Linked DNA regions of Arabidopsis thaliana. The protein of the gene in region 2 interacts with the protein of the main gene of each other region in a pairwise test. Each region holds a gene or a part of one and is shown on either strand. Other genes may lie near its edges. The genes, in order: CSP3 and AT5G60980.

Region 1 (4,190 bases), on a different chromosome or scaffold from region 2:
AGCCAAATCCATTGTTACCGTTTGATGTTGTATGATTCAGGAGAAGTTAGGGATCGTGTTTATATAAGAGAATCGGGGATTTGTGTTATGGAAAGTTTCATAATATCAATTTTCCCTATATGAGTTTTGCCATTACAGAATCCGATACATGTTCACTCATCATTTCCTTTATTTCAATATTCTCATTAATACTTGTGAAATGGAAATTACGAATCAAGCTAGTATACTTGTTATCCTTTTCGAAAATTATACATTTTTTTTTTATAACTATTTGTTGAGGATCTCTTCCTAAATTCAAAACTAGAAATTTAGATAAAGGTTAGAGGAGGAAAAAGCTCTCTTTTGTTTGTTAAGGAAAAAGTTATTTAGTTTAAAGACTTTGATAGGAAAGAGACATGTATGGTGTTGTGTAGTAAGTTAATTGTACTGGAATTGGTGGGATTTTGTATTAACGGAAATAAAGGAGGTGTTGGACATTAGAAGCTTGTCTTTGTATATGTTAAGAAAGATCAAGTCACTTCCAATAACAGAACACGTGGGATCCAAATGTTTATATCCGAAAGATTCAGCTAATCACAAGTGTAATTAGGTTAAAAAAAACTAACGGGATTAACTTCATCATCTTCTTAAAACATCACGGTAAGTAGAGAAAAAGAAACCACGAACTGACGAACAGGCATAGGCACTACAAGATCACGCACACCATGTCTCTCCTCTGTTCAGGAGATTCTCCTAAAACAAGATCTAAGTAATCTAAAATATCAAAAGATTATTCTTAAGCTAATATCTCTGTTTCATCAAGAACAAGAAAAACAGCAATGCAGAGTATAAGTAAACCAGTTACAGGAAAATCTTTAAGCTCTCCAACAAAGAGGAACCAAGAAAGACTTGTGACTCATCTCTTTGTATTTACAAGTTAGTAAAAAAAAGTCTCAAATCTTGGTATATAACAGAAGTGACCATAACAGATTGAATTTTCAAGTCATACAATCACACTCATTGCAAGGAAAGACAAGAAACTGTAAATAAGCAAGCACACATATCATTCAAGATCTCAAACTTATGGCATCAACAAAAGCAGTGAACAGGTTGCATAAACCAGTCAAAAGAGTAATATAGAGAGATCAAAAACTCCCAAAACAACCATTCTTAAACATCCTAAACGACTTTAGCAATCACATTATAGTCACCAAAAAGGAGCATTAGGTAGATTTTAATAGAAAACAAAAGAGGTTTATGAACATTACTCTTCTTCTTTGCATCTTTTTGTTAAGCAACCGAAGTACATTCCCTCGCAAAGTGACCTTCCTTGCCGCAGATGAAGCACTTGTTACTGCCACCGCCACCTCCGCTGCTTCCACTTCCTCTCCGATCACAGTCACGAGCCAAATGGCCAGTTCCTCCACATTCGTAACAAGCACGACCACCACCACCACCACCAGAAGGTATCTTGCTGGTGCAAACTTTCGCAATGTGGCCAACTCCGCCACAGGTATAACAAGTGCTTCCACCACCTCCAACGTTTCCACCGCCGTTTTGCCTACAATCCCTAGCGAAATGTCCCACACCACCACACATGTAGCATCCATCACCGCCAGATCCACGACCACCACCTCCTCCGTATCTGTTTCCACCAGAACCACCACGACAATCCTTTGCCAAATGACCAACCTCACCGCAACTGTAACACGGACGACCACCTCCTCCTCCTCCGCCGCTGTTTCCACCACCGCTTTGCCTACAATCCCTAGCGAAGTGTCCCACATCACCACACATGTAACATTCACCTTCGCCGCCAGATCTACGACCACCACCACCTCCAAAGCTTTTCCCACCACTTCCACCGTCACAATCCTTAGCCATATGACCAACCTCACCGCAATTAAAACAATTACCTCCGGATCCACGGGAGCTGTTTTCCTTCTTATTAAGTGAACCGCCGCCGGGAGCAGTAACTTCAATGGCCTTAGTCTTTCCGTCGCTTCCAAGCGCGATTTCGTATTCAACCGATTCACCAAGAGTCAAGCTACGGAATCCATCGGAGACAATTGAGGATTGATGAACAAAAAGCTCTTCGCCGCCATCATCGGGAGTAATGAAACCGTAGCCTTTTCCATCGCTAAACCAACTAACTTTTCCGATAGATCTCGCCGCCGATTGATCTTCCATCGCCATTAGATCAGAGAAAAAGGTTAACAAAAACTCGAAGCACTTTGTTCGTACAAAGAGAGGAAATGGGTAAAATGAAAACCCTAAATTGCTACTTGCTAGATCTATTAACCCCAAATTGACCTTAAATTCGCCACGTCAGCTCCTTCTCTATCGGCGGCAGTTACCACGTGTGCATTTTGGATCAGGCCCATGGTTCACATAATGAAATGGGCCTATTTATGTAAGAGTTTCAAAAGAACTAAGCAAAATTGATAAGGTTTGATTTCACACTAACTTTAAAAAAAATGCTTGAGATGTTTTATCATCTCTTAACCATCCCCAAACTCTGGGAATTGGATGAAAATGCAGTCTATAATTATCACTTTTTGCAAAAAGAAAGGGATATTCATAGTAAATCTAAAGTAAATATGACATGATTTAGATTATTATGTTATACTTCTACTAGAAGAGAAAGTGTTTCACACTTTTGGTTGTTTTATCTAAACAATATATTATATTTTGATATTATATCTATTTTTATGCAACTTATTTTGCATCCAAATTTTCAATATCCCAGCTCACTTTTTTAATTCAATGAACCAATACATGGATGATATTATCCGAAGTTCAATTGTGAAGAAAAAAATGATTCGATCATATTTTCTTCTAGAAGCAAGAAAAAAAGAACATCCCAATTACTTAAACTAATTATTGGATATCTATCGTCTATTATATATATATATATATTATATATTTTGATAATGTATGGTGTCGAACATCAACAATCTTCTGCTTCCCATTGTTTATGGACAGCATAGCTTTTGTCATGACAATGCTATACTTAAGAAAATGACAAGAGTTCCTTTTTTTATTTATTTTTCTTTTAATGACAATAGTGAATTTATAATTACTTTTTTTTTGTTCACATTTAAAATAGTTATATATATGTGAAAAGAATATGAGTTTTTTTTTGTAAATATTATGAAAGATTCGTGAGATGCAAATGTTCCAGAACATGGCATGTTGAAACAAGAGTGACACATGGATTATGATGACGAGAAGAAAAGAACCTTGTCTGTCGTATTTGCTTAGCTATTTTGGTGGCCCTGGTGAAGGCAATTTAAATTGACTATAATTATTATCATCATAAACGTCATGTTAGTATAACTCTGAAATTCTGAGCAAGAAATTTGACCCAATGTTAACTCTTTGAAATACCGTTATTTATATAACTTTTACCCAAAAAAATTAGAATCATAAAATTAACCCATGCATGCATACCTAGTTGATTGCACAACGTTCAAACTAAAAATGTTTATAACGCCCATAGAAAAAACTCTCAGTAACCCTCCACATACACATATCACATACATCGGAATTCACGATATGCGATTGTAACGTCTCTAAAAATTACTCTTTTCACAGTCGCGTGACAGGAAAAAATTCACTGCCACCAAGGCAAACAACGTTATCGAACTTTCGATAGACTAAGACCATGAATGGTAACATAGACCACACCCAAAACCGCACCGCAACAGTATTAAAATCTTTACATATATATGTATTTATGTATTTTTGTTACTATTTGACATAGATCTTCTTTTCTTTTATTGTCGATGTCGGCTGATTGTGCGACTAGAAAAAAAACACTCCCAGCTTTTTAAATTAGGTGACTACAACATAATACAACTAAAATTTTCTAAGAATGCTATATGATTTCAGTATGTAAATCTTACCTGTAACAAAAAAAATCTGTTTCTCCAAGGCTACATACTATTGATTGCTAAGTTGGAACACTTTAAGTTATACATAAATTTTTATTTTCTTTATTAGATGGTAAATACTAAATACAGACTACTTACTACTTATGGATACAAAGGCTAAAAACGCGACAGATCCTACGTGGCACGATAAACCGTGTTGATCCTACGTGGCACAACCACCCAGAATCTCTGGGTTTGCTCTAATTACAACCAATTCAATGGTTTTGGACCAACTCGACACATCGAGTCAACTCGCTACCAGCACTGATCGGTTTC
Region 2 (5,740 bases):
CACTTGTAAACCAGTATGAGCTCGAATGGTATATACAAATAGAAAAACTCATTGGTAAGTAAAAAAACTATTGGATACATTTTTATTGTTTGATTCTATCATGGAGACAGACATGACTATTTGTTGACATTCAGGCAAGAAACTACCTGAATATCCCGCTGAGGAAGATGAAGTCTTGTCATTGTTGGAGAGAGTTGCAGAAGCGAAAAAGCTATCTGCAATGGTATTTTTACTCTGCATTTGTAGTTCTAGGTTTATTCGTTTTTGCGTATAACTTTGATTTATAGAGAACTGAAATATGTTTTCTGGCAATTTTTGTTTAGAATATGAAAGAATCAGGAGGTAGGAAGAGAAGGGGAGAAGATGATGAAGAAAGTGAGAGGTTCTTGGGAGGTAACAAGGACAGAGGCAACAAGGAAAGAGGTGGTAACAAAGACAAGAAGTCTTCTAAGAAGTTCAAACGATAAAATAGCTCTGTTTTTACTGTTTTCCGATAACTCACCAAAGTTTTGAATTGAAGTTTTCCATATGAACTAGGGAAATTTAATCCATTTTGTACTCGTAATTTGTATGTTCTTTTCTTTTTGCTTTGTTTCTCAATGACAGATTATACAATTTAAGTTGAAAGATGTTTAAAAGCTCTGGTGTCTGTTCTTGGTGGCTCCTGCAGCTCTTTGTTTTATCTCTAATTTACAGTTCTATGCTTTCGAGTTCCCTAATGCATTCAACGAATTAGATAAACTGGTCATGTTCACTTCTGCTCACTTTAACTTCAAAACGAAGAGTAAGAACATCTCTGCGTAAAGAACACAACTCTATAATGGATTCCTTATGAAATTGAATGTTTGTTTATGAAGAGTACATTACCCCAAAGAAAGATTGAAAGATGAAAAACAAAAAAGAGAGGAAAAAAAGCAAGAATATTGAAAAACTAGACCGACAAAAAAGCCAATACCACATCAACTCAAGTAGTAGGCAAAAAGAAAGACGCAAAACAAAAATTAAAACTACTCTCTTGTAGAGGAGCGTTAAAAGCAAAGTCAAGATGAACCACCACCTCGAGCTCCACCACGACCTCCTTCTCCGCGGCCTCCTCTTCCACCTCCTCCGTTTTGAGGAACCCTTTGGTAACCTTCTCCTCCATTTCGTGGGTTTGAGCTCTTTGGTCTACCAGAAAACTCACCTCCTCCTCTTCCATAGCCTCCTCTTCCCCCACCACCGCGTCCTCCTTTGAAGCTTTCATTTCGGAAACTTCCTCTTCCGGAAAAGTACCTTCCCCTGCTACCTCCATTGTTGCCTCCTCCTGCAAAAAAAAAGATTAGCCACATCTTAAATACACAAAAACTCTTCATCAACCATCTTTTTCTTGATTCTTGATGAGGTCTCTCATGTTTGTTACCTCGACTATTTGTTTTCTTCTCCTCTACAACAGCTTGACGATCTCCAATTGTAACTGGTGAGGCCTACATGTACCAACACAAAGAGTCAGACTTTCTAATTCAACCGAAACATATACCAGACACCTGAGCTCGAAAAGACTTAGGAGAATTTTCAAGGCTATATATGGTTTTACCTCGAGGGCACTTTGCTTTCCGCTAGATGTTTCAAATTCCACAAAACCAAAACAGAAACCTTGCTGCTGCGAGTCACAAATACGTGTAAGGGACCAATAAGCAAAGGGTTTTTGGAGGAGATTGTAGATTTATATATCAAACCTTGTTGCTTCTGACTTGAATCCCCTCATGCTTGATTGCACCAAAGTTCTTGAACACCTCTTCAAGTTGTGTTGGTGTGGAGTCAAACGGCAAATTTCGAACATAAATCGAATGACCATCATCTGTAACAACAAATAGACAAAACAAAAATCAATAACCAAGGGAAATGCGCGTATTCAAACAGCAAAATGAAAAGAATTTACAGACCTTCCACATCAACATGGCTACTATTCGGAACATTCTCATGAGCTGAAGCCTCGGGTCTTGCTGCAGGCTCAGCAGGAGGCGCGGTCAGCTTCTGGTTGACTGGAGCTGGTCTTGGCTTGTTTCTAGCAACGTGTGTTGTTGGTGCTGGACTGCTTTTCATCTGCTTGAGCTGTTGAGGCACACAAATGACTTCATAAGTTTTACTAACAACAGAAAAACAATCTTGAGAAACAACAAAAGAATTAAGTTAGTGAGCGGTTTCAACTCACGATTGAAGCATAAGAATGCTTAGGAGCATCTCCTTGAGGCACTGATAAGATTTCATTATGACTTATTTGAGTGGGAGGTTCAATAGGCTCAACGTCAACAACAACTCCTTCATCTTTATCAGAAGGATCATACACTTCCGCCACATTGTCAAGATCTTCTTCCTCGATAGAAGCAACTGGCTCGGGTTCTACCTCGGGCTCGTGACTAACAACAACACGTTCTGACAAGAAGTAAGCCGATGTTAATATTCTAACTTGAAATAAATAAGTGCTATGTGTGGTAGGAAACAAAAAAAAAAAAACATGGAACTTTCATCCTACCTGGTTCAATAGGAGCCTGAACATCCCTAGTGGTTCCATTGATGGGGACAGAGCGGGCTTGTGCAGTCACCTCTTTCTCCTCAAGGAATCGAAACACGTCGTTTAAGACAAAGTATCCTTTGTCTTGTGGAGCCAAGAAAAAAGATTGACTAAACTTCTTCCTAACATTATCGTTCCCGGTTAAGCGTCCTGTAACCAGCACAATAACACCTCTCTCATGAGACTCCTGAGCATCAGCAGTTTCTATCTCAGCCGTGTAGTCTTCATATTTCAACGACAGAATCTTGTCGTTGATCGCCTGAAATCCATAGCGAAACCAAGTTAATATAAATCAAAAGAGAACATCATAGCAATCTTGTTAAAGTAATAGACTTAATGATAATCTCACTTGCATAGTTGTGACAGTAGTCACAGCACCGGTAACATCAGGTCGGGTTAAAAAGCTCGAATCTTGATAAAACCGATGAACTAAACCGGGAGATTGGTGAAGAATATGATAGTATTGCTCCACAAAGGCACGACCAACAACCTCAGCACCAGGGGAAGGACTAGCTTCCTGCTGTGCCATCTACACTCAATATATATATATACGGTGAGAATCAAAATTTACATAGCTCAGGATTAATAACATTATCAATAATCAACCACTGTGTTAGTAATTATTGAGACAATCTTCTCTGAAGTAAATCATTTTGATCAATAACCTAAAGACTGATTCAATAACCTAAATTCCAATAATTCAGATAAAAGTCAACGATCTAATCGAAAGTCTAAGATTTCACTGTTCTGTATGAAATTAAGCTCATACACACACACACAAAACCCTAGAATGAATATAAGATCACAACATTTATTACAAGAACAACACTAATCAAGACACGAAGCAACTAACAAAAATGAAATTTTAAAGATGTTTTTTTCACAAAAAAGGAATCGAGAAGAGAAGTATATAATAAAGAATGAGTCAGATCAAGCTCGATATAGAAAGAGAAAAGAGATCAAGATTGGAAGCAAATCGAGAAAGAGTAAAAGAAACAGATCGAATTAGGAAATGAAGTGAAGTGTCGTGTACTTACAGTGATCTGAGGGAGAGAGAAGGACAAAGAGAGATCTGCTGCAGAAGCTACGAAACAGAGGAGAGGACGAGAGAGACAGCGACAGACGGAGAAAGAGAGAGAGAGAAGAGAAGGAACCGTACCAACTTTAGTTTTAGTTTAGCTTTAGTTCAGTTCAGTTCAGTTCAGTTCGGTTCGGCCCAAGAAGCAAGAAGACTCATACTTTGGGCTTCATCATTCTTGAATTATTGGGTCTTTCTTGTTCATTTCCTTATTAGAAACTTACAAAAATAGGATTTACTTGTGTTGATCTTGAGAATGGTTTTGGGTCGTATATAAAAAGTTATAAACCGTTGACAGATTTTGTGTTACTATACGACGTATCTAAAAGATTTATGAAAACAACAAATTCTGAAATATTGCAATATTAAATTAATTATCTACTCGATGTTTGAAGGTATTATTCATTAGAAATAAAGAACGACTAAAAATTAAACACAAATACGACTTCTCAAATGTTATTAATGTATCATCGTTTTTTTTTAAGTAAAACATGTTGAGTAATCTGAGAATTATAAAATTTAAGAAAGAAGTTGAAAAGACAAAAAATTCATATTTTATATGTTTTAAAAATAAACTAAGACTCTATTTTGGTGTAGGAGGAGTAGCACCGGCAATTCTTGAACATTGTTCTTTTAGCATCGGCGGAAATAACGGAATGAATGGAATTTTTGGCATGCAATTGGATTCGACATCCAAAAATGCTTTGCAACAAGCCGGACCTAAGTTACCAAATTTTCTTGTGAAAATAGATTGAGAAATCTCTGCAATGCATCCCGGAATATCCATCACGGATGACAAACATTTTGTAATATCAGGTAATCCTGGCATACCAGAAATCGGTTAGAATGAAAATGGAAAAGGAAATTGTGGTAGTTGAGCATTTACGGAGACAAAAACGCACATAACCGCTATAATAAAAATCAAGTTTTTGATAGCCATGATGAAAACACAAAAAAAAAAGTTTCAAAGTTTATTTTTCTCGAGTTTGTCTTTGAATGATGAATAATAGTAAGATCCTTGGCTGTTTTTATAGGGGAAGAAATTGAGCTATGGTATTAATTGTGTATTGAAACGTCTTCGAAATTTTACTGTATTTAATTAGTAGTTTCGTTTTTTAATCTGGTTTAATTAGCAGTTTTTTAAAACTGAAATAGAGTCCAAACCTCCTCTATTCCAAGTTAATGAGACAATCAACAGTAATTAGAATAATTGACTATTTGATTAATTCAGAGGAGATGAATATAACGGTGGGACTTAACCAAACCGGAATAGCTCATAATTTAACCAATTATTAATCCTTCAGTTTGATTTGATTATATTCATTCCTCTTAACTCGTTTAAAAAAGGCTCTCTTACATCCGGAGACAACGTACCATCTCGTATATTCAACGCCGCCGATTGAAATAAACACTTTGAATCCGGAAAATGTAGTTCTGATGTTGAAGAAGAAGAGATGGCTTAACTAGAAAACCCGTAGAAGAGGTCCAACTTCAAGAGAATGAGAACGCGTGTGACGGAGAGTCGTAAAAGTAAAAGCTTAGTACAAAATTGTGTTAAGGTGACAATTTGTTGCATTTTTTGTTTACCTTTTTTGTCTACCAATTTATCAGTCTTAGTATTGCATATAGCCTATACTTTAGTGCGGGAACTACTTCTTAATCAGTACATTAATAATGTTCAATAAGTCAGTAAAACTAATTGGATCTATTTGAGAAATCTTGACTTTTTAAAGTTTATCCAATGGGTTGAGGAATTCTTATTTCAGGTCAATCAAGACAAATTTTCTTATTTTATTGATCCATAAAACCCTAAAAATCATATTGTCCCTTTAATTACTTTGCTGAATATTTTTACACATATATAGAATTAAGGTATTGATGTAAAATTAGAAAAATAGAAAAACTTGTGAATATAAATCATGATTAATTTGGAGATAGCTGACTCTGACTAGCTGTTTTGTTCATCTCCTTCTCTCTGAGTTCTTCTTCACACACTAGCTAGCTCAATGTTTTTTAAATTATGAACTCACATGTTTTCTATAAATGTTTTCTGATACTAAAAAGCCAGTCACAACCATTATACATTTATACTGCATAAATGTTTCACAGCA

Evidence for each region.
Region 1: the proteins of AT5G60980 (region 2) and CSP3 interact in a two-hybrid assay, tested with the Arabidopsis thaliana proteins (one study listed by BioGRID).

The regions. Positions count from the first base shown.
Region 1 is NC_003071.7:7,763,007-7,767,196, forward strand, and holds CSP3 (cold shock domain protein 3), read right to left. Parts: upstream 2,271-4,190; 5' UTR 2,176-2,270; coding exon 1,270-2,175; 3' UTR 522-1,269; downstream 1-521. Other genes in the region: AT2G17860 (Pathogenesis-related thaumatin superfamily protein), read right to left, coding at 1-12; AT2G17880 (Chaperone DnaJ-domain superfamily protein), read right to left, coding at 4,170-4,190.
Region 2 is NC_003076.8:24,541,328-24,547,067, reverse strand, and holds AT5G60980 (Nuclear transport factor 2 (NTF2) family protein with RNA binding (RRM-RBD-RNP motifs) domain-containing protein), read right to left. Parts: upstream 3,933-5,740; 5' UTR 3,589-3,932; exon of another isoform or gene 3,081-3,588; coding exon 2,901-3,080; intron 2,811-2,900; coding exon 2,513-2,810; intron 2,413-2,512; coding exon 2,192-2,412; intron 2,092-2,191; coding exon 1,923-2,091; intron 1,838-1,922; coding exon 1,716-1,837; intron 1,640-1,715; coding exon 1,574-1,639; intron 1,464-1,573; coding exon 1,400-1,463; intron 1,304-1,399; coding exon 1,041-1,303; 3' UTR 716-1,040; downstream 1-715. Other genes in the region: AT5G60990 (DEA(D/H)-box RNA helicase family protein), read left to right, coding at 1-54, 135-223, 324-467. UniProt on the Arabidopsis thaliana protein: Involved in RNA-directed DNA methylation (RdDM).